Lytechinus pictus: one gene and its partners. The protein of the gene in region 1 purifies or fractionates together with the protein of each later gene. This does not show direct contact. Links are inferred from orthologs where the notes say so. Each region holds a gene or a part of one and is shown in the gene's direction. Other genes may lie near its edges. The genes, in order: SIN3-HDAC complex-associated factor-like, trinucleotide repeat-containing gene 18 protein-like, inhibitor of growth protein 1-like and histone deacetylase complex subunit SAP30L-like.

Region 1 (7,472 bases):
ATCTTAAGGTGATGTAGCAATTTTTTGTTTTCTTATAGTCAGAAAAGGATATTAAATGTATCAGAAATTCCTCAAATGAAAAAGCATGTGACATTTTGATTACATTTCAAGAGTTTCTCAAAATAGCAGATTTGCATGATGTAGTACAGAAAAATTTGAAAATTGTAGATACTTCTCACAGATTGACATTTTTCTTCATTATGATTACTGAGGATTTACTACATTGTATTTTGTTGTTCACAGAATTATAACATTTTCATACTTTCACTTTCGCAGCTGTTCAAGTGTCACAGTACAAACATTACTTTGGCAAAATTGGAGGTCATATTTGTACATGTTTGTTCGTCAAATATTCATGTAAATATTAAGTATTTGCAATGGTAGCAATACTCTCATTCGGGTTCTTTCTTGCCAGTTTCAATATCAAATTGATAGTACTGTTATAAGAAACTTTATTTGTGAGGAATATTGTATGCAATGTAATATTATTGTCACAATTTAATGTATTCATGGCAGTTAATGTATTTGTATGCTTGTAATATAAATTATTGGTTCAGTGTGTGTTTAGGACTATTCATTATTTTGATATAGGATTGAATAAGGTTTTCTGTCTTAATAAGATTTTGGGGAATATGTATATATAAGAAGTTGACATACACTTAATTTTTTATCAATTAATAGTATACATGTAAAATTACTCATAAGTGAGAAGTTTCACTTAAAAATTCAGTTTTCTTCTGGTAGAAGCATTGTCGTCAGGTTACCATGGAGTAAGCATTTTGCGTGTTACTACGGATATGTGGATGTAAGAGATAGAGAGTCTGTGTGTGTGCGTGTGTGTGTGTGTGCGTGTGTATGTTCATCCAGTGTTCATCCAAGGTCAGCTGAGACAAGCCCTCCTAGAAGGAAGTTCACTTTAGTCAGATTTGTTTTCTTAAAGAAATTGAAAGTTTGCCATTATTTCAGGCAGTAGTTGCATAAGTGAAAAATTGCTTTCACTTGTAATTGATTCTAATGGGTTATGACTGAATATTTGAATGATTATGGTACCCTTCATGTAAATGGATTGCTTTAAAACACACCTGTTCATTAATGTACTCTCATTTAATATACAGTGGCCTGAAAGTTTGTGTAAGGTTAGCAATGACAACTACTTTAATGCATGCAAGGTGAATTTTACTTGTTGAATAGATTTATTTACAAAATGTTTAAGTCAACTGAATTGCAAACAGCAGATAAAGTAACACCAACCAAATTTTATGGTTGTTCTTACAACCTTTGTTGCTTGCTCTGACAGGTCCAACAAATACATAAAGAGTTTATGCATGCAAAAAGGATGCCACTTATTGTAATACCATTCAGTACATGGTAATTACCTATTACCAAATCCAGAGGAACAAAGTATTCATGAAATTTGACTACATTAGTGAACAGGTCTGTAATGAACATCAGCATTCTTAGGACATTTCTGTGTACATAGTTTCTGTATAATTGTCATCTTTGAAATTTGATTATGCAACACATTCTACTTGCCAGCATTTTGCCCATGATCCTTACAAAAATTGTACTGTTTGTGAAATATGGCATTGTCAGTTCTACTGCATGTTAATGCAATAAAGACTTTTCAAAGTTTCATTCAAAAGTTTTACTCAAGTGTATTTTTGTCATTGGAAGTTGTGCCAATTACAGTAAAACATACTGTAAATGGGGTCAATTTACAGTAAATTACTGTAGGGAGTGTACAGTACTGGGGGTAAATTGGGAAGGTGTACAGCATTTTACTGTAGGAAGTGTACAGTACCTCACTGTAATGCAAGGGAAATTTACAGTAGTTTACTGTAATTTAACCAAATTTACAGTAGCAACAATTCTAAAATTTGGTAAATTTTACAGTAAGCTACAGCACTTTTCACGGTATTTTCCTGTAGCTAGTTCAAATTTACAGTAATTTACTGTAGGACGAAACTACAGTAGCTTACTGTAAAATAAAAATTACAGTAAATTACCGTGCAGCAGAGTTGCCAGTAATTTACTGTAAAATCTACAGTAAACTTTTTACAGTTGTTTCAACCCTTTTCTGGTGTGGACCGATACCGGGCTGGTGTTAAATCAATACCGGTGTTTTTGCAATGTAGTGATAGGCCTATATATAGGGGGCATCAACCCCAACTTTTTTTACAGTGTACACTGGAGTCTGTATGACAGCGGGTTTTAATATGTGGTCACAGACCCTGATTGAAACTTTGATCAACAAGTGGGTCTACTCGCAAAGACTAGCACATATAAAACTTGCTCAAGTTTCAATATTCCTAAGTGCGTGGGCCTTCAGTATATACACGCAATGTATTTTTCAGGCTGCACATTCAGACCCTTAAATCGAGTGAAGTGTTTGTACAGCAGACTAAGCGGGTTTCGCCGCGTCTAGGGGGGGGGGGGGGCAAAAAGGAGGGGAAAAATGGAACAAAGCAGAAAGAAAAGTTAAATTATATTGGTCGTAGATATTTTACCTGTTGTTCTTTTGAGAGAGGAAAATAATCTCAGTGTTGGGTTGTCTCCACACCACAGGCGCGTATCCAGGGGAGTGTTTCATCAACATTTTCATCCGACAAGCTGTCAGATCTGACATCTTTCTCTGATGTTGATTGGCTGAGAGATACTGTTACTATGTAACTGTTGGATAAAATGGGACTTGTCGGATAAAACGTCCGACAAGTCCTTTCATGAAACGCCCCCCAGGAGGACGGGGATTAGGCGGGGCGTAAATCGTAAATTGCGGGCGCACCCCATAAAATTTCACCCCCCCCCCCCTTCATCCAAAAAGAACCCCATTTCTGGTCAGGATATCCAACAATTTTTTGGAGCTCGCGCTTCGCTCTCGCATCACTCATTAATAAATACGCATCCTTATGATTATAAAACTTAGTGCTTACTATATAATGTCCCGTTTTTAGGTCTAATCATAACTATTATCCGTTCATTGGGTTTAATGTAATGACTAATTATTCCAATCCAGGGCGGAAGTAAGGGATCGAGTGGGCGAAAAAGAAATAATGGTATAGTACCAACTCCGAAATAAAAATGAAAAGAGATGGTCGTACCACAATATGAGTTGCAACCCAAAATTTCACAGCTTCCTAAAATTGGCATAATGAGCCGAAAAATGAGGGGCTACATAAATCATGGCGTAAAAATTGTTAAAAAGTTGCATGCGAGCAAATCGAGCAAGCAAAAGTTTTGACATTTAATTACAAAAATCTAATTTTGTGATGGATTTTGATGAAATATTAAAAAATAATATAATATTCCACCCTTCTTTTTTTCCACTATCTTCTTTTTTCTTGGTTTTTTTTTTTTTTTTTTTTTTGGGGGGGAGGGGCAAGAGCCCCCAAGGCCCCCCCCCCCCCCCCCATCTGTACGCCACTGCTTCCTAGATACGAGAACATTAATGTACTGTAACAGGGTGCATTTTGTAAAATGCTGACTATTTGTTAAAAGCTACTGTTATCCTTGTATCTGATTGGCTCAGCCCCAGAGCAAATTGGAAAGCACTGGGAAAAAATGAATTATGAAATACTTCATGTTTAGACATTTATTACTTCAGCGCTGTCTTAAACAGGTCAGAATTAAGAGGTGTGTAACAATGACAAATTATGTATATATATTTATATCTATATATATAGTACAATGCATTACCACTTTGCCTCATTAATATATATATATATATATATATAACAAGCGCTATATACTCTCTATACATTCCGTAGATTGAAAGTCAATCAAATAGATTGTGGTCAAGGCCAATCCAAAATTCGATCGAAAGTGAAATCACATAAGATTGAATTCTAAATTTAATACATTGAAAATTCCAATCCAATTTTGGATTGGTCCCTGATTGCAATCTATTTCATTCTAAGGAATTTAGAGAGTACATACTATGCAAAGAAGCCTCTCCAAAAACAAACAAAATAACAAAAATACCAATATAACTATGTTCTGCAGATTTTTTGTAACAGGAATGATGAGCATAATTATGTTTGCTCATCTAGTTTTCAAAAGTACACTGGTTCCTCTGACCTCCTCAATGTCAACGAGAACCATGTTAGGGAATCACTTTATGACACGCCCCCCCCCCCCCAAAAAAAAAAAGCAAAAAAATGTTGGTCAACAGGATTTGAAAACCATAGATAATATATTTTTAATGATTGATTATCATTTCCAAGACTGAATAGGTGCTTTTTTTCACACGTTGGATTCAGGACAGGACACGGAGGATTAGTATATTGTTACTGGGCCGTGCTGAGCATTGTCACGGCACCCCCAGTAACAATAGATAATCCTCCGTAGCCAGGTCCATGGTTGGATTCAGTCCTATATTAAAATCAAGGACATGCAAAATCAAATCTAAGTTGTAGAATTTAACACAATCCAATAGTCTTGAATGAAAAACATTTTCATTACTTCGGCAAGAGAGGGGGCTATACCAGAAATAAATTGATTGGTCGTGAAAGACATCGTGACCACTACTCTGATCGAACACTCTTTTCATTTGTTTTTTTATTCTGAGGATTTCATATTCTATCAGCTTTCTCCCGAAGTTTGGTAAATCATATCTCCAAGAGCAATCAGTGACCTTTATATCTGTAAATTTCCAAGGTAAGACACTTTCTAGATTCGTTTATTTTTGGAAGAACATGATGTCCTATTTCGATTTTCAGAGAGATCGACCGGCGTGCCGGTATACTACCAGAACACACGTGGAGTGTACGGAGATGAACCCCGGCGCGGCGCTTGCTCACACATCATTGCCTGCGCCTTTTTCGTGTATTAGCTCGTGCCTCGGTAAAAAGTAAAACTGAAAAGGAGTGCTAAAAAATTGACACTCATGAATTTTAGCTCCATCGGCTATGACAATATGTATTCTTTTCACCATTTCCACCATTATTTTCCAACCCTCGAACTTATGCTTTGTTTCTTGCTATTTCCTCTTATTTTCGATTTCCCCCCCGGAAACAAGAGATTTCCTGTGTTTCGCATGTTTTTGTTTTTGCCCCCTCTCTCGTCTCCGATCCAACAAAGGGTTCCTCCGGTTGGTCCTGCTCGATCGACCGGGCCTTGCTGGGGGTCTTTGTTCGCGTGCCTGGCACGTGCCACTCGCGAGCCGTGGAGCCTCACAAAGCAATATATGGCCAGGATTTGGGCTTTATTCCACCCTTTGCTTTGTTCCTATTGGGTGGCTCCCAGACCAGAAGGGCCTGTAATTTATGCACACTAATCCCTGCACTGTGTGGTATTGCTGTGCTTGAGACTGAGTGATGTTTTGTTATTGTGGTCCAGCCTTTTATATGAGTCCAGAATTTGCTGAACAAAGACAAGTTTGAGGGTATTTTTCTCACATTTGCAACTTGGCAGCTCAGAAGTGAGGTTGGATTTTTATTCCCAAGGAACTTGATAAATTATAAATTAGGACATTGTCATTGACATTAGTGCTACTGTGAGTATTTTACACATATTTTATTCCAGATTCTGTTGATAATGTAATGATATGATTATGATACTAGTACAGTAGGTCTAAGTTACTCTATTCCAATTTCGATCATTTATATTTGTGGATAGTTGTTGACAGAAAGTTATCAGCTTCTTTGTGTGAACTTACATTATGATTAGGTAGTGATGATTGCAAGCCATAACTGTTGAATTATTCAACACATTTCAATATTGGATAGAATTACGATGAAAATATACGTACACTGTGCATGCCAATGTTGAGTGGATGTCACATTCCAATTATATGTTGAATCTCCATCCAAACAGTCATTGTCATTATGCAGACAGTCTCGTTTATTTGCTCTGACAGCATTTAAAATGGTCTTGTTTAGTCTAGGACTAGGTAGCCTATTTTTCTATCTCATTGAAATGGATATCATTATTATTTTCTTAGGGACAGTAAATTAATTTGTGTCAAGCCTTGATGCCCTTGTTGACAGCTGATCTTCTAAATTTAAATAAGATAAGTTTTATGATGATGTCATTTATTGTCACACACATTATACTGTATGTGTAATCATATATTTAAAAAGGCCTACTTGTAACTTTCAATCAGTGCAGAACGTATTTTGTGTACATTATTAATTTCATCAATATTACAAATCAATATTGTCATAGTTTGCAGCAGGGAGATGGCTAATATAAACTGAAACCTTCCACTTCCAGCCTTAGATACTAATTACATGAAGATTCACATGTACATGTACCATTTATAGGCAAGTTTGTGTTCTTGTCAAGACATTTTGTTTATTCATTTTAGCATTCATTGCATGCTGAAATGACACAACATGGCATTCAATTTAGATTCTTTCCAATGTCATGACTACACACTTACTGCACTTGTATATTATTTTGTACGCCAAGTAATGTATGCCAAGTTCTTTGTTTAGAGTATGAGGAGGAGGTCCCATTGTTGATTTGGGGCGTCAGTGCAAGCTGTTGGAAAATTATTCTTTTGATCTTTCTATCCTTGTTGAGCTTCTGTGAGCCCTTTGTTGTCCAATTATGTAACCCCCCCCCCCCCAGGAACACAATGACAGTTAACAATACATGTACAGTACATGTATGTGGTACAATGTAGTGTTATTTGCCCACAAGTATGCATTCTATTCATGAAAAATCATGTAAAAAAGTTATTTATTTATTTCTTTTACATTAAATTATTCATATGATTATTTATTCATTATTTTTCAATTTATATATTTATTTATTCATTTATTCATTTATTCACTCATTCATTCACTCATTCATTATTTATTTATTCATTCATTAATTAAAAAGTCAAAAAGGGGCCTAAGCTTTCGATCCTAGCAGAATCTTCGTCGGAGGCAAAATGACAAACATATAAAGTGGAACAACCATAATATAGACCACAAACAAGCTACAGCAACACTAGAAACAAGGAGACAAAAGGGGCATTAGTGAGTAGAGAAGACCAATCAGGTTAGTGAAGGGGATGAAAGAAAAGGAGTAGGCAGACACAAAGGGAAGTTAGTGTAAGTAAGGCCAAGAGGGATTAAGATAATGAGGCAGGCAACATCAAACAGGATCTGGAACAAAACAGTGATAGAGGGATGAATAACTAGAGAATTAGTGAGAGGTGGGTCAAACAGGTTACAAAGAAAGGCTGGACACTCCAGTTGGCCGCCATTTTAACCTCCCCAACCACTCCATCACTCACATGATGCTACAGGGCATCGAATCTTTAGGTACCCGTCCTGACTCAGTCCGTACTAGCAGGGAGAAGCTTTGGATGAGACGACTTCGCACCACCCAACCTCATGGCCTGAACATCCAAGAGGGGAACGACTGATTTTCTTTCCTATCCACTTTCAATTTATATATACATATAATTTTTCCCCTCAGCTCTTTTGAATAGTTACATTATAGTTTCTTACTCTACTTTCCTCCCATATCTCATACAAGCT
Region 2 (7,414 bases), on another chromosome or scaffold:
AATAAAGAATTCCACCCTTTTTCACGTAAGCCCCAAGGTTTTCTAGAAACATTGCGATTTTGTATTTCTTAGGATGCATGATGCACGAAAGAAAGTGAAATCTTAAAGTGATGATAGTGACCCCCCAAAAAAAAACGATCTTAAAATTATTACATGTTTAATTTTGACCCCTTAAATTTAAAGTAAAAGCAAAAAACAAAACAAATTAGAATAAAAAATTGGCAAACTGATGCGAAACTGATATCCCTACTTGTTCAAAAGTGTTCTATTACATGAAATTATGATTACTCAAATTTTGTCTTCCAAGAGCTGAATAAATTGGATTGAGAACAAGATTTTCCTTCCTGCATCTTATTAAATAGGAGGACAAATCCTGTACACATGTATGAAAAAAATGAAATAATTTATTATGATTTCATATAATACCATAAGAAAAGGGAAAGTGGGGATGTGATATCATCAGCCCACTCAATGAATATTCGTGACAGCGTGTATCCAACTGTTTTCTCAAAATATTGCTAAATTTGACAATTCAATAACTTCGTTATCAGATTTTGATGAAGTTTTAAACATTTTGCTTGGTGAATTATACTCTATTTATTTCTATATGAATATTTTCAGCCCGGTGTACCCCTTTAAGATCTAACCTGAATTGTTTGGTAATAAAAAAAATGAATGTATGCAAAGCAATTTATGGAACGAACAAAAATGATTTCCAGTTGGTACTTAAACATTTAGAGATGGATCACGAAGTAAAAAGCAGAGATCTATGAAGGAATTTTCCTATTGGAGGAAAACATCCCAACAATTTAAAAAGAGTGCCTCCCGTTGTAATGCGCAGATCAGAGTGCACAAAATTAAGAACGTGAAATTCATCATAACCATCAGACCATGGGGCTATCAACAATGCATTTACTATAACTTATATATTTAAAAAAAATAAATTTAGCCACCCCCTCTCCTAATATATATATGCTGTATATACATATAAATATATATAATTATGTGTGCGTGTGTGTATATATATATATTTGAGAGGATGCTATAAATACAGCGAGAATAAGCAATGAGACGTAGCCGGGGTTCAGTTCATCAAGTTTAATCACAAGCTTTCGGCCATAATTGGGCCTTCTTCAGGTATCTGAAGTACAAGAGAAACATGTGGCCATAATGTACAAACAAATTTGCGGAGTATATATATATATATATGTATATGAAGTATTTTATTTTTGTTCAATATTATGTCTCCAAAATGTATATGTATCGATATCTCTCACCCCCGCCCATTCCTTTCGTATTATACTACTGGGACCTCGGCAAGCCTCGAAGGCATCAGTGGTTCTTCCATCACTCAGAACATGCTCAGAACTGTCATGTAGAAATGGTCGTGAACGAAACATGAAAGTAAACTTCTGTCTCCATGAAAAGAGAGAACTCAAAAGACCTGTTTCATGAAGACTTGCTATAATAACAGATACACAATCTTCATTAAAAGAATTACTACTATCAGCCAATCAAAGCAAAGGATTTCCGTCGCTTTTCACTTGTATTGCAAATTTACAAGTTTTACGTAACGGGGCCCCAGATGAACCAAATTCACTGCCAGACAACGTACACACCTTGCTAAAATGTGAGAGCCACTCTTCACTCACATGCACGCCGCATATGTCGGCCGGGATCACTCGGGAAGAATGAATATGAACTCGCCTCCATGCTCTAGGTGCTTGAGGGTCAAGTTTGTATCACGTGACCCAGAATCAGCGTTGTTACCCTATTATGAATTGGCGCCGAGCCAACTTTATAATTTGAAATCCATTGACAACACATCACACGTGTTGGGATGATGTATATGAATTAACAATCCGAGGATTAGCTGGACAGGTTGATGGTATAAAGTATTGATTTATATTAATTTTTTCCAATTAAAGAATAGGCCTTTCCAAGGATGGTGGAAGATATCCCCTACACCGAATAAAAACTCACCATCTTCTTGGTGGTGTTAATGGCAAAAGCATACGTTATGCTGCTCATGGAGGACCATGGTTCTGCTTAAACCATATCGCTCACCCTTTGCGATTTACCCAAGTAAATTCAATATCGTCGTCAAAACACTCTTGGGTTGTCGTCTGATGGTCAGCTCATAAGAGGAGACGAAATAAATGATACATTGATTCTCCTACTATGTCGTTCAGTGTGCTTTTCTGGTAAGCGCGCCCACGATGATGTTGATACACCTGTAAGCCTATCACCGAAATGAGATGCTAGACTCAATCAGCATCAACTATAAGAAACATGCAACATGAACGGGGTCAAAGCCCTTTTCCCGCAGCACTTAAAACCGATGTCGGGGACATTGCATGTGAAGCGTAATCTTGTATGTAGTCGTAGTAGTCATGAACGTCAAGGCCTTGTTTTCCACTTTCTTCGTCCCATCGTGGGCAAAGCCGCCCCCATTTTCTATTCTTTTGAACGATTTTATTCGTGAGCTTGAGAAAAGTCGGCACTCGTATTGACGAGGGGATCCGTGCTACTTCATTAAAATTCGCGGTGAATGATGTTATGGAGAAGGAAGAGTTATCGTGAGACATGTTGCCTCAAATGGGGACAAAAGATCACAGTTCTTGTTCACTTAAACTGAAAATCTAATTAAGCCATAATTGTATTGTGAAGGGAGGTTTGAAAATGTTCAGTCTGTTTTGCAGATTTGATGGGTTTGTCATTATTGAACGAAAAGCTGCCAATTCTGTAATGAATTTTAGATTCTAAAGCTACACACACATATAAACATATATATATATATATATATATATACATATATTGCTACAACTATTGAATTATTTAAGATTTATATGGCAGTGTCGGCGAACTGTTATCCGCTATCATTTTGAAAGGATTTTGTGATGTGTTTAGGGAGAATTTATACCAGTCGGAATACAGGCCTTCATGGATTTCTGATGGACATGGTCTGACCATGGAGTAGTAGCTCTATGGTCCTATTAGGTCCATGGTCTGACTGATGCATAATGCTCATGATTGCAGTATAGAATCGCATTTCGTATGTGCTTTTGGCGATGACCCTTTTCCATCTAATCACCACGCAGCAATCAAGATACCCAGTCTTTCTATATTTATTACTGCCGGTGAAGTCGTTCCTGTGCCTTTTATCAAAGTAAGCTTGATTGAGATCTCTAAAGCTCAAATAGCAAGTCGTGGACATGAAATGATGTGTCCATGTTTATGCATGCCCTTTATCTTGATATGCAGAAGAACCTTTGAACACATTGCCAGAGGCACACCAATTCTGATGCGTGCATTTAAAATGCGCACGCAGATGATACCTGATGTGGGTAAAGGGGGCGCTGGGGCGCTGGAGACGATGAAAATCCCACTAAATGAACACTACGGTGGTCGTGAGAATAGCTGCTACTAACCTGGCGAATTTGTCTACGTCTCGCTCTGCATACACAAGTTTCTATTTGGTTTTGTCGTCTTGAATGCTGTTTTCCTCGCGAGACATAATCGCCCAATTCATGTTAATTTTCTTGTGCGTTTTCACAAATGCAAACACGGTGAGGGACTTTGCAAGCAGCAGCTATGTCACGCTTGCTTTCGAAAGTAGAAAACTAGAGGAGAGAGGGAGGAAAGCAGCGGTGTCCCCGGTAGGCCTGGAGAATAGCATGAATTGAGTCGCCTCAATTCGCTCCCTCATGCATGCGCGAAAGCGGAGGAGAATTCATTGCATAGGAAATAAGCCAGGCACAATAGGAGGTGGTTGAGGGCTCGTATTATTATCAAAGAAAAAGAATATGCGACTAAAGTGAGTTTTAGAGGGGAAGAAAAGGGGGTAAATGTGCGTGTGTGTGTGTGTGTGTGTGTGTGTGAAAACAGAGAATAATAGAATAGAAACTCAGTGAGCGGACAGCGATAATGAAATTCGTCTGAAGGGAAGAAATATTTTACCCAAAGAGAAGGAAAAATAATTTCCACGATGTTTAGGCCCATCATGTTTGTGTGTGTCAATTCTCAAAATATAGATCTTGGCCAATGGTACACGAATCCCTTGTTTTTGCTTTTGTGTTCCACAACAATCGGGGAAAGTGATATTTTGAGAAATGTGTGGATAATGGTTTTCACAACCTCTGACATTCTTGTGTATTCCTCTCGGTTTGGTTATTTAAACACGCTTACAATATAGATGTGGCTATCTTTTCGAAGCATCGATAGAAAAAAAAAAAACTCGCATTCCTGTATGTTTGCACCATCCGATACATGAATGAATGAATAAGAATCAATGAATAAATAAATGAATAGTAAGTTTAAATGTTTCAAAGTCTTTCCAAATTGTATGTAGGCGTAGGCGCTCGAACATAGACGAAATACTTACCAGTCTCCTCATTTCATTTGGTTATTTACAGGAACTCGGAAGATAATGGCTCTGCTGCCAGAGACCTCACCATGGAACTTATAAACAGTAAGCTATAAATCATCTAGCATTTTGCTAGGGTTTCCGTTTGTCTAGGCTAACCGGGTGTTAACCCGGAAAGCCTAGGCATTGGAGGCTAGATTCGGCTTGTCAATTCGAACGGGATCTTCACTGGCCAATGGCACAATCGCCTTGCGTTCGGCCAGGGCACGGTGCAGCATCACCAACCAGCTTCGACCACCATCGAGAGAAGGAGGAACCAGAGACCTCTCTGAAACCACTGGGAGAGCAGAAGCAGCCAAAGGAGCACCTAGAAAAGGGACAACCTCGAGACAATCCGTCAGCACCGAAGCAGCAACAATTACCAAAAGACACTTCATCACCTCCAAGACAAGAACCCAACCCTGATAAACCGGAAACAGGGAATGATCGACAGCCTACGTACCGCCAAGTAACCTTACCGGCTTCAGCAACCTCTGCAGAAGCAGCAGCAGCGACACCAGCGGCAGCCCCTGTATCAGTTTCCGTATCAAGCAAGCATTCTCTTCGTAGTCCAGTATTTGCTGATCTTCCTGTATCATCGGCGTCATCGTCCAAGATCAACGAAACATCACACCCCAAACTTGGGGGATCGAAATTACGAGGAATCAATGTTGGTACCAGTAGCGGTATTCATAACTCTACCATAACAATCACAACTAAAGGGAAGCCAACATATGACAGAATGGAAGCTTTAGGAGGTGAGTGTTGCTCTTGGTTGCTCTCTGTGAACTATGAAGAAAATGCTTCATTTCATACTTCCTGTTGACCGAAAATATTAGTCATTCTTATGGACAAATATTGACAAAAATTTTCCTAGTGCAAAATTCGTACAAGTGCAAGTTTATTGCTCGCAAATATTGCACCCTTTTTCCAGAGGCTACATATAGGTATGTTTTCAGAATGACATTATTCTGTATAATAAAAAGAACGTATTTTTTCTTTTAATCGCGAAACTATATGTATTTATTAATTTCTTTGCGATAAGTTCATGTCCGTAATTACCATGGATAGATGATAGATAGTCATGGTAGGGGAAGATCAAGAAGTGGGAGCATGATGTCGACTATGACCACATGCAGACTGTGTATATGTCACACTACGATTTACCACATAAGCTGATTTAATAAAGCATTAATAGACATCTGGAAATATGCTGACTCATTAATCATAGCCACTTTGACAAATAACGGCAAGTGATAGAAACAAAAAGGAGCATTATAGAGATTACTTTGAATGCGTTTTGACGTTGGTATTATTGCGGCAGTCAGACGCCGATCTTTGGAGAAACGGATGAAATTATCTCCTACCAATTGCAAAATGGCGCTGAATTAGGAAATGGGAAAACATAGTCACTGCAGTGAATTGTGTGTTCGTGGGACAAACGGATTCCAAACTTTACCCCTTGGATTTAGTAACAGGAGGGAAACGCAGTTTTATACGCCGAAATCGTAGTTGGTGAAATGTCAAGTTATGTTTGAGATGAAGTATTAATGATTCGGATTCAGATTCATATATTGGTACATATAAAAAAAAACCATAGGAATTAGTCCTCCACTGGCAGTGCATTATACACAGTAAAAAAAATTATACAAAGCTGTTTACTATATGAACCTTACAGTAATTGTTTAAACAGTTTAAACAAGTGTTTAAATCTTAAGCAACAATGTTTAATTTTCAATATCTAATTTTCAATAAATTAAACATGATTGTTTAAACGGTTAAACAAATGCTGTAAGGTTCATATAGTAAACAGCGTTGTATAAAATCTTAAACAGCGTTTTTACTGTGTAAATACATAAATAAACACTAATGACGTATGTATTTACAAATATTTAACATTGAAGGAATATAAATGAACATGTATTGCAATACAATAAAAAGGAATTAGCAAAATAATTACTCATACGACAGAATGAAAAACGAGTAGCGAGAGATAATCGAGGAGCATGGATGGAAGAGATCATGTAAAAGCGAGAAGAAAGAAGTCAACTGGATAGAAAAATGAGACATAGAGTGGCAAGTAAAGAAAGGGAAGAGAGAAAAGGGAGAATTTGGGGAAAAGAAGGGAAACAGAGGGAAAGGGAGAGATAGAGAGAAGGGAAACAATACAATATGAAGATAATATACACAGCTGCACTTAAAGTAATTACATAGTAAGAAGAATACATTAAACACCAGCTTTGTGATGCATGAATGGAAATGACATAGGCAAGAATGGGCAGGAGGTCGGACAACTAGCGTTTTAACATGAAATTTGGACTGACCTATAAATGATATAATTTACATAAAGAAATAATAATAATATAGACAGTGCAGACTGGCAAGACATTGTCAAGGATAATGACGTTCGCATCAAACATCCGTCAGGCTAATTATAAACTTCGGGGCAATGCTCCACAGGCACACGAAAGTTGATGAGAAAGTCACTTGCAAAGAGACGGGCATTTTTTGACCGGCAAGATGTTTTCCAGACGGATAATTACTTGAAATGGCAATAGAATAGGATTGTGTGCAAAACCATGGACGCATATACATGTATATGAAAACTTACTGGCTGTCACTGTAATTTTATGCGTTTTTCTTGAAGTCGGGTGTATACGACATTTTACCCGACCGGATAATAAAATGCCTCTTTATCAAGTTCATGGTATATTTTCACCACCCCTTAATTTTAATTAGTTCAAGCCACAAAGTGTATTCTTTTTCATGATTTTCTATGAAAACAAAAACAGTAACTGGTTTTTTTTTTCGCTTATCATACTTACGGTTCTACCTTGGATCTAAGTCTAATTATATGTTTTGATAAAGATCTGTATAATTAGGATTAGAGTCTGAGAAAAGCTGTTTGTCCAATTAGCTAATTCCAAATCATTGGGCCATTCTTGATTTAAATTTCATGTAGATTTTAGAGTTTACATGTCACCGAGACATTGAAAATCCAATAGTGGG
Region 3 (7,720 bases), on another chromosome or scaffold:
ACACAAATCTCCCCATTGATATTATGTGTAAATGTCCCATACATAACATGTTGTCCCATACGTAACATTTTTTAAATTAACTTTTAATTAAAAAGTAAACTCTATTTTTCAAACTTTTTGTGATTTAACATTTTCATACTTAATAAATTAGAACTTCCCAGAGATGCAACAATACAAGTATTGTATTATGAGAAATAACTTTAAAAAACATCCTCACAATGTTACTTATGGGACATTCCATCCTTGGACAAGACCTAATTTGCATAATTAATTAGATGACACCACTTTTTTCCCCCCAAAGTAATAAGATGTTAGGGGGTCCATGTCCCACCTATGACTAAATCTCAGAAATTTTGTTATTATTTTCTATGAGTTTTTGAAATTGTCCCATACGTAACTCCCATTTTACCAATTATGCAAATTAAATGCCCCAAATTAGCATAAATATGCATATTATCACATTTTTCCTAATGAAATTTTAAAATTCAACATTTGGGCTTTCTTACCCCACCAAAGATAACTTCTTATAAATTAAGGATGAAATTTTGCCTTCTAGGGTGACCTTTTTTTGGACTTGCCCTACCATCTTGCCTGTGGGGAATCTACAGGTAGGACTATGGTCAGTGGCGTACCGTGGGTCACGGCATTGGGGGGGCACCAGAAAATTTTTGAGTCACTTAGTGAGCGCGCTCAGTTGCCAGGTTTACTGACCTAATAGAGACATTTTAAGGACAGTGCCATAAAACAAATATGTATCCCACTGATCAAATAATGCGAGCGCGAAGCGCGAGCTGAAAATTTTTGATATTCAGACCTAAAAAGGGACATTATAAGCAAATTTTTGTTATGATGATACGTACCTTTCTCGCTAAACAAACAATGAGAGCGCGAAGCGCGAGCTGAAATTTTTGTATATATTAACCCCAAACAGGGACATTTTAAGGACTATATTTTAGGAATCCATTAGGAGTATACATATCTCACCAATCACCATAGTCATCTTATTCGAGTACCAAGCGCTTGCTGATTTTGTACATCTAAACACATGAAGCAATTGCACTCATTGTAATCATGATTATCATCTGCATCTCCCTAATCGAGTATTGCAAGGACTTTAGAAGGGAAAATTAAAAAAATTCAGACCTGAAGAGGGGCATTTTAAGGCTTGTTTGTAGGATTGCGCGAAGACCATACGTATTTTACTATCCAAATTATGCGAGTGCAAAGCGCGAGCTGAAAATTTTTGGTATTCAGATCAGAAAAAGGGACATTTTAAGGACTGATTTTAGGAATTCATGAAGAGCAGACACATCTCACCAATCTACTGATGCAAACATAAGCACGGACAGGAAATGTTTAATATTAAGACCTTATAATGGGGCGATCACTTTAAGTAGTCATGAAAAAGAAGCATAATTATGTCACTATATAAAACAATAATAACTCGAAGTGCGAGAAATATATTTGGCTTATATTGACTTGAAAACGGGAGGTTTGAGTACAACAGGATTATATATCTCGTTAAACAGACAATGCGAGCACCAGGAACAATGAAGACATACATGTAGGCCCTGAGCAAATTATGTTTCATATAAAGTAATGAAAAAAAAATGTTTCTTATGTAATATAACATTAAACATAACTATAATATAACATTTAAATGAACAATAATTTCTTCTTTCCCACTACGTTTCTCTTCCTTTCTCGTTCTTTTTCTCCTTTTCCCCCGTTTTTTTTTTTGGCCAGCCGATTGGGGGGGCACGTGCCCCCCCCCCCCCATGCCCCCCTGTAGTTACGCCACTGACTATCATGGTATGCCAATGCCAATGCCAATACACAGCACACACTTTAAAAAATCATTAAAATCACCAAAAATACTAATTTCCATACAGTTGCAATTTAGTAACTTGGGAGTAATTTTGTATTCACCAGAGCGCTCGAAAACTTGAAGTTTGGGCATATTTTTTGTACGCCCTCTATTGTTGGAAAGTAATATGGCAAGACAATTGTCATTTTTCAATACTGAGGTTTTAGCGGGTTTTTTTTTTTTTTTTACCTGACTGCTAAGAAAACACGAATGCCTGTGAGCAAGCAACCAGGGGACCAACGGCTTAAGGTCCTCTCCGAGGGACCTGGTAATGAGGATTAATGCCTCTGCAAAGGGCACTAGCGCACCACTTGGGAATCGAACCCGGGTCACCGGAATCCGAAACCCCCGCTCTACCGGATGAGCTATCGCGCCTCCCTATCTCTATTTTTAATTAAGAAAAAAATAATTTAAAGAATCAAATTTACTTAAGAGCCAAGTTTAAAATATATATAAGTTTAATATATTATGATGAATAGCTGTAATGGAAACTGACAGTGTCAAAGAATCAAGCATTTGTCCCAAAGAAAATGAGAAAATATGCCAAACATTGCCAACCTTATTTCACCACACAGGCCGAGTAGTAACACTAACCTTGTTCACTGAATGAGTGGTTATATCATAACCTTGTTCATTGAATGAGTGACACTAACCAGTCGAAGCGCTCGTCCAAAATTGGGATTGTCCCAAAAAACAAGGATATCCTCATAAACACAAGACAAATCATGTCTTGATAAATTGAGAATGTCCTTGTTTATGGGGACGTTTTTTTTTCACTTCCCCCTACGGGACAAAGACAGCAATGAATTACGGGAATTGAGAGTGCTAAAAAAAAAAGATTCAGTCACTCAGTGCATGACCTCAATTCCCTCCAGTTCACCGTCTATTTTTCATGAATTACTGACTACTGTCTTCCAATAATCTTGTTATGAAACCTGATATGTTTAGAATTCTACATTGACTAGCACACTTGATTGGTGTTGGCACTTGACAGGTGAATGAACTTTCCTAGATTTCTTGTGTGAAGACTGAAGGAATCCTTATAAACCCACCTATGGGTACATTACCGCCGCCGTGCACAGGATAACCGCTGGCACGGCACTTGCAATAAGTTTTTTATTCTTATTTAAAAATTTGAAATTTATCTACATTTTACATGAAGTAAGCTTTGGATATGAAACTTACCGAACGATATGAAGCCAATTTCAATTCCTCTCTGTCTTTCTGGTACTTTATATCGATGATTTTTCTTGATGTCGAAGCAGGCATGGCCCCGATTAGCTGGTTCTCTCTATACGCACAGAGAGGGCGCGCGATATTATTAAATAAACTTGCTTGTTTACGTCGTTTACGTCAGATCAGCTGTACTGCTGGCTGCGTTCTAGGCGCTCCGCATTTTTTTCACTGTTCAGCGTTATTTTATGATGTAGCGCCATCAGCGATTATACGTGACATGCAACCTGTTGATTTTTGGTACAATTTCCTATTATGCGCCGGCGACTTGAATCTAGACTGTTCGATAGGAAAAATTCGCATTTCGATTGTTGTTTGCGTAATTTCCACCGCAGTATTAAGGATCGGACGGAGTAACTGGCTGAGATTTGGAGGTAAGCGTTTAAAATCCATTTTTATAGATAAGTTCGTGCTGATTTTCAAAATTAGATTACATTAATAAGATTAAGATTACTAAATTTAGTATATTGTGAAGATTTAGGCGTGTTTCATATTCTCACATTCGTGTGATGAATGAAAACGTCAAAATTAGACATTATGAAATGACATGCGTTGTGCGAGGTTAGTAATAGTATACTAACCTCGCATGTTGTGTGAGTGTTATAAACCGAGACAGTCCCTGTAATTTGTAAACTGGGACTGAGTCTGACTCTGAGACTGAGTCTGAGTGGGACGATCCCAATTTTCTGACCAGCGCCTCAAGGAGTCAAGGCTCAGCTCTACTTTACTAGTACTGCTAACAAAGTAACAGAAAAAAAGGTTATAATAACCTTGTTCATACTTCAATAGAAGACAAATCTAAAGTCTAAGCTCTAATGACAACGTTATGCCTATGCCTGGCCGGGGAGAGATGCATGGGTGGGGGCATCCCATTTACCGGCACCTGCAACTCTTACGCACACATATCCAATGGTATTGTCACAATTCTGTGATCCAGTAATTCCAATTGCACAGGAGCTAAATCCCCAAATATCATTATCATTTTCAGACCGTCCTATACCATGTATACCTATTCCTTGCAAATTTGTTCGTCCTCACGTTATAGGGCTAGACACGAATAAAAACAGTGCTACTGGAATGATAAGTCTGTAACTGCAAGAAAATAAAGGTAGAAGAAAAAAGGGTGAACACAACTACTTGCCTTCCAAAAGTAAACTGCGGGTCGACTCGTCCAGTTGCTCTTGCCGGCGCGGCAGGACGTGTGGCCTCCCGTGCAGCGGGATCGCATGATGCAGAGCATGCACTAGCTAGTGCATGCCCCGGCGGCTCCGGCTGGCCTTCCAATTCCAACGTTGGGTCGGTCCAGCTGTTCCGTATTTCCCGCGACTCTAACTTCCGGGTAAGAATATTCCATTCGGCTAAAATGAAAGTAGATATAGTGCGATGATAATAATTTCTTTTTGAAAATATTCTCAATTTTTTTTCCATCTTTTTCAACTTGAATAAGCTTAATGATTAAGGAATTTCTACACTGAGAAAGAAAAAACATCAAAATTTGATTATTCTCAAAGCTTTGAACTTTTTAACAACAAATAGTTTACCTTCATGAAATGGCACGGTCGAAGATTGACCTTTCAACTTCATCTAATTACGCATGCGCTGCAGTATTTTAATGTTTGATTCTGCTCAATCAACGTCGTCGGAGCTATGACATTTTGAAAACTACGTTTTCGAATTTTCATATTATTTCGTTAATCCTGGACTGAATCTGTGATCAAGATGAGTCATTCGGCTGCAAATATGTACCAAACCACTAGTTATGTAGAAGACTACTTGGATTGCATCGAGTCGCTTCCAAATGATCTGCAAAGGAGCGTGTCTCAAATCCGTGAGATCGACAATACGTATCAGAGTAAGTGCTATTTCACACCAACGGGAATGTAAGCTGCGCGTCCCCCGGCCTATCGGCTAGCAAGACAAGGCATTCCGCTGATTAACCTCAAATCGCCGCTCCAGATGAAGTCGTCAATCTTGTCCCAACCCTGGATGCATTGTTTGGCTCTCATTGTCAGTTATTGTCTTTTTTGTAGGGAAGATAACACCAAAAAATTATCCATATATGTCAAAATGAAATATATTATCTACGACTACGTGGAATGTTTCTTGGGCACTTGGCTTGGGGTTAATTTGTATGACTATCTATGATGACGTATCTACAGTACTATCTAGATAGTAGATCTTGTTCATGAATGAGTGGTGTCTCAGTGTCTTTGACACATGTGACTGTGAGGCTGAAAATATGTGTTCTTCTGATGAAACAATTAAGTGATGCCGACAGCACCACACCATACATGTTACTTAAGTTATCCAACCCTTGGGTAAAACTAAAAGTTACTTTATGCTTAGCCTAACTTAGCTCTGAATAGGGACTAGCTAGGCTAGCCCTCGGCTCGAGTTATTCTTTTCCTTTTATTTAATTTGTGGCTTTCTTGTCTCGTCATTTAATGGACAAATTCATTCATGATCCTGATGCCCAGCCATGGCCATGGTAAAATGTGACTAGAAAATATTTCATGTTTCTTGGGGTTTTTGTCTCACCTGCATAGCAGTGTGAGACTATAGGCGCCGCTTTTCCGACCGCGGCGGCGGCGGCGTCAACACCAAATCTAAACCTAATGAGGTTAAGTTTTTGAAATGACAGCATAACTTAGAAAGTATATGGACCTAGTTCATGAAACTTGGCCATAAGGTTAATCAAGTATTACTGAACATCCTGCCTGAGTTTCATGTCACATGACCAAGTTCAAAGGTCATTTAGGGTCAATGAACTGAGACCATGTTGGGGGAATCGACATCAAAATCTTAACCTAAGGTTAAGTTTTTGAAATGTCATCATAACTTAGAAAATATATAGACCTAGTTCATGAAACTTAGACATAAGGTTAATTAAGTATCACTGAACATCCTGCATGAGTTTCACGTCACATGACCAAGGTCAAAGGTCATTTAGGGTCAATGAACTTTGGCCGAATTGGTGATATCTGTTGAATTACCATCATAACTTTGAAAGTTTATGGATCTGATTCATGAAACTTGGACATAAGAGTAATCAAGTATCACTGAACATCCTGTGCGAGTTTCAGGTCACATGATCAAGGCCAAAGGTCATGTAAGGTCGATGAACTTTGGCCATGTTGGGGGTACTTGTTGAATTACCATCATATCTCTGTAAGTGTATTGGTCTAGTTCATAAAACATGGACATAAGAGTAACCAAGTATCACTGAACATCTTGTGCAAGTTATAGTAGTTTTCAAAGTCAGCACTGCTGCTATATTGAATCGCGTGATGCAGGTGAGACCGCCAGAGGCATTCCACTTGTTTTATATTGAAATTTAATATTGGGAAGCTGAAAGTATGTGTAGTTGCTGATGTGACAGCACCACAACTCTCATGATAAATTCCTTTATTCTTTGATAATGATATAATTTTATCGGCATTTTGGTACGGTAACAAAAATATACAGTTGTTACAGTAGTTAAATTTATTCCCATTTGCAACGTTTCATACCTAGGCAAAAAAACTAATTTGGTGGCTTAAAAAATTTGATTAAATAACCAGGAAGGCAAGTTGGGTTATATTTTCAGGGAATTTCTGCTTAAGTTATGTTTACTTAATAATGGGATAAAAATAGAACTGATGGTTGGGATGATATTATTTTATTACTGTGAAGGTTTAAATTGTCCTATGTCAGATAAAAGGTACCCATTATTCAATTGGAGCCATGCACTGATGTAAGAAGCTGACTAACACCAATATTAACACGAAAAGAAGGCCTAGATCTACACCAAACTTGAAAGAACTTAAAAGCATGAAGCACTTGTAATTATTTTGTTTTTTTCATCTTCAGGTGTTTTGAGAGAAATCAAGCAGCTCTATGAGACACTGGTGACCAAGGATCTGGACAATCACAACAAACGGCGAACCCTCATCCACCTCCATCGATGTCTCATCCAGAGTCAGGAGCTTGGAGACGAGAAGCTCCAGTTTGCATCTCAGATATCGGAGATCGTTGAGAACCGCCTCCGCCAGATGAACATGAATCGCACCCATCTCGAGATCATGGAGAAGCCTGAGCATCCTCCTGACCCCCCTCCAAAGACGAAGAAGGCTGCCCCAGTGGTCATAGAGCAGGAAGCGCCTGCGGAGAAAGCAAGCAAGCGTTTGAGACGGGGCCGCAACAGTGATGTCAAGGAGAAAGACAACCACAGGGTGCCGCAGCAGAACGACAACAACCCCAAGGCCAAGAAGAAGAAGCGTAATAAGACTAAGGAGAGGGACATCTTGCCCATCGATCCTCCCATCGACCCCAACGAACCCACGTACTGTCTTTGCCAGCAAGTCTCTTATGGAGATATGGTTGGATGTGACAATAAAGACTGTCCGTATGAATGGTTTCATTTTGGATGCGTTGGACTCTCATCAAAACCCAAAGGCAAGTGGTACTGTCCAAAATGCTTGCCGGAAGTCAAGAAAAAATGATCGCCACAGACTAAATTTTTAGAGCCTATTTTACTTTTCAAGCATTTTATTTAATATGTTAGCATCTCGCACAACATGCTACATGTAGATATTTGTATAAATATTGTATATAAACTGCATCGAGAGATGAACAATGTAC
Region 4 (7,032 bases), on another chromosome or scaffold:
ACCCCAACAAAAAAGTTGATTTGAATATAAAGAGGAAAAAAAAACGTTCATAACGCTGAAAATTTCATCAAAATCAGATAAAATAAGAAAGTTATAACATTTTGAAGTTTAGCTTAATTTGAAATAATAGTTACATATGCACATCCAGGTCGATATGCAAATGAGGAAACTGATGATGCCATCCACTCACTATTTCTTTAGTATTGTATTATATGAAATATGATATTTTCCCATTTTCTTCTCATTGTCAAGTGAAACAATTTCTCCCTGAACATATGGTTCATTCACGTTGGCCCTTATTGTAAAAAATGTGAAAAATGAAATATTGTATAATAAAAAAAAAAAAAATAGCGAGGCCGGAACTGTATCATTTGCACGTAAATGAGTTGTGCATATAGGGCCTATATTACTTTTTTTGTGAAAAATAAGCGAAACTTTAAAATATCACAACTTTCTTATTTTACATCCGATTTAGATGAAATTTCCAGCGTTATGCTAGTTTGATATATCTCTATTTATTCAAATCAACATTTTTTCTGGGGTGAACTTGACCTTTAAACAAAATATAAATTCCTTTTATGTAACGAAAAATAAGGTTATAACACCCCAAGTTCAACTACGACTAATTCAAAGAAGGTAAACGATAATTTTTTAATTCAGATTATACTTTCTTCAAATTTTCAAAGTCATTCATGCCTGAATGATCGAGGAATCTTCTGAGGATACCAGGTGAAAGAGAAGATATTCTAAGCTTTACAATGAGTGCCGTCTTCATTTTGTATAGCCATTATAACTTACAGAATGAATAAAAATAAATGAAAAATAAATGAAATGTATGGCCCTGTATCAACATAAGACTTCAGATAACAAAAAGATGAAAATATGATAAATAAATGAATAGATAATAAATAAATAAATGAACTTCCACACATAAAAAGAATTAAAATCGAATGATACCTCTGGCTGTCTATATCACAGGAAAAAACTGATAACAAATAAATTAAATGATTAATAAATAAATATAAATACATTAATTAATCAATTAAAATAGATTGATAAATAAATTAAATGAACTTCCACAAATAAAAAGAATTAAAAACGAATCATAACTCTGATTCTCTATATCACAAAAAAAAATTAACTGAAAACAAATGAATTAAATGATTAATGAATAAATATAAATACATTAATTAAACAATTAAAATATATAGGTTGATAAATAAATAAATGTAATTTTAAACATAAAAATAATTAAAAACCAATTGATACCTCTGACTCTCTACATCACAAAAGAAAAAAAAACTGAAAACAAATAAATCAAATGATTAATGAATAAATATAAATAAATCGACAAATAAATTTCTGAAGAAGTAAATTATTATCTCTCCTTAATGTTTATTTGGAAAATAAATTGGAGCCCCCCCCCTGCCTCCTACAGCGCCGCCCATGATATTCTTTCCTTGTTTATTTGGAAAATAAACTGAAGCCCCCCCCCTCCCCCCTACAGCGCCGCCCATGATAATTCTCACCGGCCGGGGAAACAAGCCCCACGACCACGTTATTTTCCATTATATAACAGCGTAAGGGACCTCGATAACGAGTATACTACTATAGCCGTCATCCGAGCCCCACACACGTGCGAATGCTGGGACAAGCGCATTGGACGGGGCCAGTTTCGCGACTATCTTAGGATGCAAGCTTAATATATACTCGTGATATAGGCCCCGCTACTGTGTTGGAGTGTCTGAAGTGCCGTAGTGCGGGGCCTATATAACGATTATAGTACTTTACTCGTGAAACAGGCCCCGCAAACGGACATTCTAAGCCATTCAACACAGCAGCGGGGCCTATATCACGAGTATATATAGTGAGCTGAAGTTAGCAACCTAGATATTGAGGTAGTATAATCGATTACAAGTTTTTCTCGAGCGGGGCCTATATCACGATTTTGCCACATTTATTTGCACACAGACCATTCCATAATTTGATATTTTAAAGTTTAAAATGATACCATATACTGATCAGTGCAGTGACCAAGACCAAGTCAATAAAAAATAGTTTAGTAACATCGCATGTTGTGTGAGTGGACCAAGTCGAGAAGTCCATGCCATGCCATGGGCATGGCCATGGACATGGTGACAAGTTCAAGTTCTTGCCTGTTGTTGGTTGACTGAATTCAGTGCAAGATTAGCATTTATTTAAACTTCTTTTATAATTTTAATGAAGATTCTAAGTAATTTGGAATTGCAATTCGTATTCTGTAATGTACGTATCAACAGACTTGCACGGGAACTAAAATATGTGCAAGAAATTAATTCAAAGACAAAGATTATTCAAACCACTCATTCAGTGAACAAGGTTATATCATAACCTTGTTCATTGAATGAGTGGATATAACCTTGTTCTCGGTTAAATCTCCATGTGTGGCAAAATAAGGATGGCAATGTTTGGCTTATTTTCTCTTTTTCTTTGGGACAAGTGCTTGATTTTTTTACACTGACAGTTTCCATTACACCTATTCGTCATACAACTTGGCCCTTTAAGTAAATTTGATTCTTTAAATTATTTTTTTCTTAATTAAAAATATTATTTTCCACCAATAGAGGGCGTACACAAAAATATGCCCAAAATTCAAGTTTTTGAGCGCTCTAGTGAATACAAAAATTATTCCCAAGTTACTAATGAAAAATAAATTGCAACTGTACGGAAATAAGTAATTTTGGTCACAAAAGTGATATTTTTTAAAGTGTGTGCTCTGTACAGCATTGGCATGCCATAGTCCAACCTGTAGATTCCCCACAGGCAGGGTGGTTGCAGTAAACAAGTGATTCAAACAGTGCAAAAATGAGAATCTAGGTATAAAAAATGAACAATAATAATTAGATTAATACATACTCAGATTTCCACAGTCATTCAAACTCAAGTCTCTTAAAAAAACCCTGCATATTTTTAATATAAATACAATTCAATCTATTGTGTTTTCATGTAGAGGTCGATTTTGTATACCATTAATTAATTCCTAAAATATTCATTTCAATCTTCATAAGAAATGAAAGTATTCATAACCATAATTGAAAATATAACATAATTTTTTTTGGTGGCCCGAAAAATATAAAGAAAAACATTAATTAAAAATGAATAAAACAAACTTCTAAAATATTAATTCTGCAGCCACTACCACTAGGTTACTTTCACTTTGTACATCTTGTATGTAAATCTTGTTTGCTGTTATTTTACTTTGCTAATTGATTTGTGGTAATATATAAATTGTTCTATCATTGTAAATATGAAATGATTGAAAGAGAATAAAAGATTTGTATTGTTCTCAGGTTATGTGGACTTTAAAAAAAATCTCTGTATAGACACACACTCATAATAGTAAAGTAAATAAATAGTGCATAGCAAACTCAGATAGATGTACAAAACAGTACGTAAGATCATGGCAGTGACAAAAATGGAAATTGTCACACATTTTGTTTAATTCATCATTTATTATGCACTCCAAGTCTCCAATAAAAAGATAAATGCAGATTTGTTACCATATATGAGTTTATCCATGTGACATTATTGATTCACAGAGATCAGAGAAACTTCACTACATTTCTTTAGTTTAACTATTTTACTCTTGAGTGTTGTACTGTCAAACATAGGCATGAATACATGTATATCTTTAATATGCAAGTCTTATCAAACACATGCATCATGATGCATGTAAATGGTATCTCTGTATTAACTTTTATTCTAAAGAATTATCCATTATCATTTTGCTCAAATAGCAATCTAGAATTTGTGTGTATTTGAAAAGTGACAGTTGGTAATCTAATATTTATTTTCCCTGTTTAAAATCTAGTAAAATGTTTTCCAAGAAGTTTTTTTTCCCCTCAACAAAACATTAAATGAAGACGACCAGTGACATTCTAGTTTTCCTCTATGTATGTATCATGTAGGCAAATATATTCATGAACAGTGCCTGGATTGGTAATTTTTTTCTTATCTTTTGTCCATACCAGAATGAAAGAGAAAAGCAGCCCATTTAAATCTAGCTCAATGAAATCGAGCATGAATCCTTCGACGACAAAATTGTCGTCTTCAACATCATCGCAGCGCAAGATGAATGGCTTTAGTACAACAGAGGATGACAGTCGTGACTCCGGACATGGTCAGATATGTTGTTTGGTGGACGATGGTCAGCGCTGTTCAAGACCTGCAGGGAATGCATGCTATAGTAAACGTATTGCTAAGACAGTTCAACAGAGGAAATTAAAACTGACTATTGATCACAGTGTGAGTATGCACATACATCAACTTCCAAATGACAATATTGAGAGGTGAACATGTTCTTGAAAGAATTATATTTGTGAGAAACCATTTATATTTATGTAATTTTGTGAAATAATTTATAATTAACCTTATTAGAGCTCTTTATCTTTTTACTTGCTTGTCAGTGAGTGCCAATCTCTCTCTTGTGAGCAGTGACTGTATCTTTTTTCAGCATCATCTTTTTTCAGATGTATTAACTTCATGAAGTTGTCATTGCCATAATTAGGTGATCATGAAAGTCATAGAAGTACACTGTTTCTTTGATATTGGTGATTTTTTTAAAATAATCATTATCTATCTTCATGGTATTTTTAAACAGGTGAGGCATATCTATATCTGTGACTTTCACAAGTCTATGATACAAAGTGTTCGTAGTACCAAGAAGAGGAAGAAAGGAAGTGATGAAGATGGTGGAATATCTCCAGATCATGATCTTGATGTACCAGAGGTATTTTCTTTGTGAATCATTTTTCAATCATTCACCAATTTATTTATCATGATGACTCAGAAATAAGAATTTTTTATTTATTTTTTTTTATTTTATATATCCCAACAATAAAGACTGATAGGCCTTTCCTTTAAAAAAAAATCTTAGATCCTTAGTTGTATACAAGTGTGATATACTTGCAGTTTCCCCGGGAACACAAGTATTGGGCAATTCCAAGCAAAAGTGGAAATTTTCCAAAAATTTATTTTGGCTCTATTTTAATTCTGGATCAAATTTTTCTATCAAAACTCATATGGGATTTCATAAATACAAAAGGGGAACATAATTAGACACAAATTTTTTTCTTACGCATCTCCTTATAGGAGAATCCAAACCATACAAAAAATTCTATACATGGGACTATGAATGTTTTTTTTCCTTAATTTCAATTTAGCGGAAAACTATTGCTTGTTTTGTAAAATTTTCTTTTGGATAATCTGAAGGTCATCATTTTACATCATATCAAAAGAAAGTTTTTTAAATATAAGTTCATTTTACGTTGCCTGTGGGTGAATATTTCAGATGTCACTCCGTAACCGAATATGGGTTTATGTTTGAAGTTGTAATTACTGAAAAAATACACCAATTTTTAATGTAATGCAGCATATTAAAGCTAGAACAACATAGAATCCAATCAATAACTCAAAATTGTGATAGCCATTTAAAGTTCACAGAGTTTGAGCAATATGTTTTCTCCTCAAATATGCATGTCCATTTTGCGTCACTCTGTAACCATGTTTATGAATATTCATATCTCATAAATTCAGTGGATCAAAATAACAAATGTTATTATTTTTAAAGTGGGCTTCATCAACTACTGTCAGGTACCATTTCTTTGAAAATAACTATTTAAATATGGGTGATATCTTTGTTTGAATGCTAAAATTTGTTTCTGAATATCTCTCCATTACCTTGGAACTGCTCTATTGATAGAGTTCATTAAAACATGAAACCCAATTGCTCTTGAAATACCCGAAGCTTCAAGGGAGATAAACTATAAACCCATACCATACTGTACGTTTGTAACATTTACTGAAAAATGTCATGAATGTCACTGACTATTTTCTTTCTCTACAGGTTGATTTGTTTCATTTACAAGTGAATACTTTAAGAAGATACAAGAGACATTATAAGATTCAGACCAAACCAGGGCTCAACAAGGCACAACTTGCTGATGTAAGTTCAAGGAACTATCACAAATTATGGGTGGGGGTATGTTTATTTCTTGCCGCAGCACTATTTTGTTGTAGAATCCATTTTAAGAAGCAGTTTTCTAATGAAAATTGATATTCTTAACCCTAAAAAGACTGGGGGGGGGGGGCTGATTCAGCCCCCCCCTCGACATTTTTCGCGATAAATCCGCCGCTTGAAAGTTTTTGACCGTGTCACTTGCTGACTTTTTACTTTCAAGTCTCGCGCGACTTTCGAGACCAAAATTGTGACCCCCGGGTACGCGGTTCCGAAATTACGCAACATTTTGTAAGTGCATGCAGACCCAAAATTACTCAAAAACGTAAATTTGTGTACAAATCCAATGCAAATAGTGTTTTTAGCCAAAATTCATAAATGTATCATTATTTTTCCTTTTACTGCTTAAAATCAATTAATTTTATCTTTTTAATGGTAAAAATAAAGTCCCCGATAATTTCCATTGAAAAACAATAAAAAACAAAAAGTCAAAAAACAAAGAAATACATAAGAAATTTAGAAAACAATAGAATACATAAGAAAATAAATGTGATGTTGAAATTTTTTAAAAATAAATTTGATCAGATGCCTATCTAGAGTATGTGAAACAAAAATTACCATTTTAGGGGCATTATTTTATTAATTAGAGCAAACTTATGATTTTACGCATAAATTAGCATAATTAATGAGCAATGAGATTTTTTGCAGAATTTGATATTATAGTTTTGTTGATAATGCCATGGGTAACGCGTGTGCCAATTTTCGTCGCGATCGCGCGGTCGACGGCCGAGATCATAAGGGGGGGCTGAATCAGCCCCCCCCCCCAGTCTTCTTAGGCGTCGAAATAGCCCAGTCTATTTAGGGTTAACACATGGAAAAGGACTTCATTAGTTTTTATTTTTGTGTGTGGGGGGGGGGGGGTTACTTTGTAGAAATAGTAACGATCCTACAAACCCCTTTGAGAGAGGTATTTATATGATTTTTTTGCCATGGTCAGCAGTGACATAGCTCAGGATGGGGGAAGTGGGCATGTAGGG

The links.
Region 2: the proteins of SIN3-HDAC complex-associated factor-like (region 1) and trinucleotide repeat-containing gene 18 protein-like purify together in Homo sapiens (affinity purification with mass spectrometry; 3 studies listed by BioGRID and IntAct, counting the BioPlex papers as one, with this or other methods). This does not show direct contact. The link is inferred for Lytechinus pictus from reciprocal best matches to the Homo sapiens genes SINHCAF and TNRC18.
Region 3: the proteins of SIN3-HDAC complex-associated factor-like (region 1) and inhibitor of growth protein 1-like purify together in Homo sapiens (affinity purification with mass spectrometry; 3 studies listed by BioGRID and IntAct, counting the BioPlex papers as one, with this or other methods). This does not show direct contact. The link is inferred for Lytechinus pictus from reciprocal best matches to the Homo sapiens genes SINHCAF and ING2.
Region 4: the proteins of SIN3-HDAC complex-associated factor-like (region 1) and histone deacetylase complex subunit SAP30L-like purify together in Homo sapiens (affinity purification with mass spectrometry; 3 studies listed by BioGRID and IntAct, counting the BioPlex papers as one, with this or other methods). This does not show direct contact. The link is inferred for Lytechinus pictus from reciprocal best matches to the Homo sapiens genes SINHCAF and SAP30L.

The regions. Positions count from the first base shown.
Region 1 is NC_087263.1:5,710,206-5,717,677, reverse strand, and holds the start of SIN3-HDAC complex-associated factor-like, read left to right. Parts: upstream 1-4,456; 5' UTR 4,457-4,653; intron 4,654-5,163; exon of another isoform or gene 5,164-5,491; intron 5,492-7,472. UniProt on the Homo sapiens protein: Subunit of the Sin3 deacetylase complex (Sin3/HDAC), this subunit is important for the repression of genes encoding components of the TGF-beta signaling pathway.
Region 2 is NC_087254.1:4,947,173-4,954,586, forward strand, and holds the start of trinucleotide repeat-containing gene 18 protein-like, read left to right. Parts: upstream 1-4,405; 5' UTR 4,406-4,601; coding exon 4,602-5,163; intron 5,164-7,414.
Region 3 is NC_087249.1:47,989,628-47,997,347, forward strand, and holds the start of inhibitor of growth protein 1-like, read left to right. Parts: upstream 1-4,696; 5' UTR 4,697-4,819; coding exon 4,820-4,952; intron 4,953-6,949; coding exon 6,950-7,581; 3' UTR 7,582-7,720. UniProt on the Homo sapiens protein: Seems to be involved in p53/TP53 activation and p53/TP53-dependent apoptotic pathways, probably by enhancing acetylation of p53/TP53. Component of a mSin3A-like corepressor complex, which is probably involved in deacetylation of nucleosomal histones.
Region 4 is NW_026974140.1:19,466,454-19,473,485, forward strand, and holds the start of histone deacetylase complex subunit SAP30L-like, read left to right. Parts: upstream 1-4,011; coding exon 4,012-4,284; intron 4,285-4,639; coding exon 4,640-4,768; intron 4,769-5,884; coding exon 5,885-5,983; intron 5,984-7,032.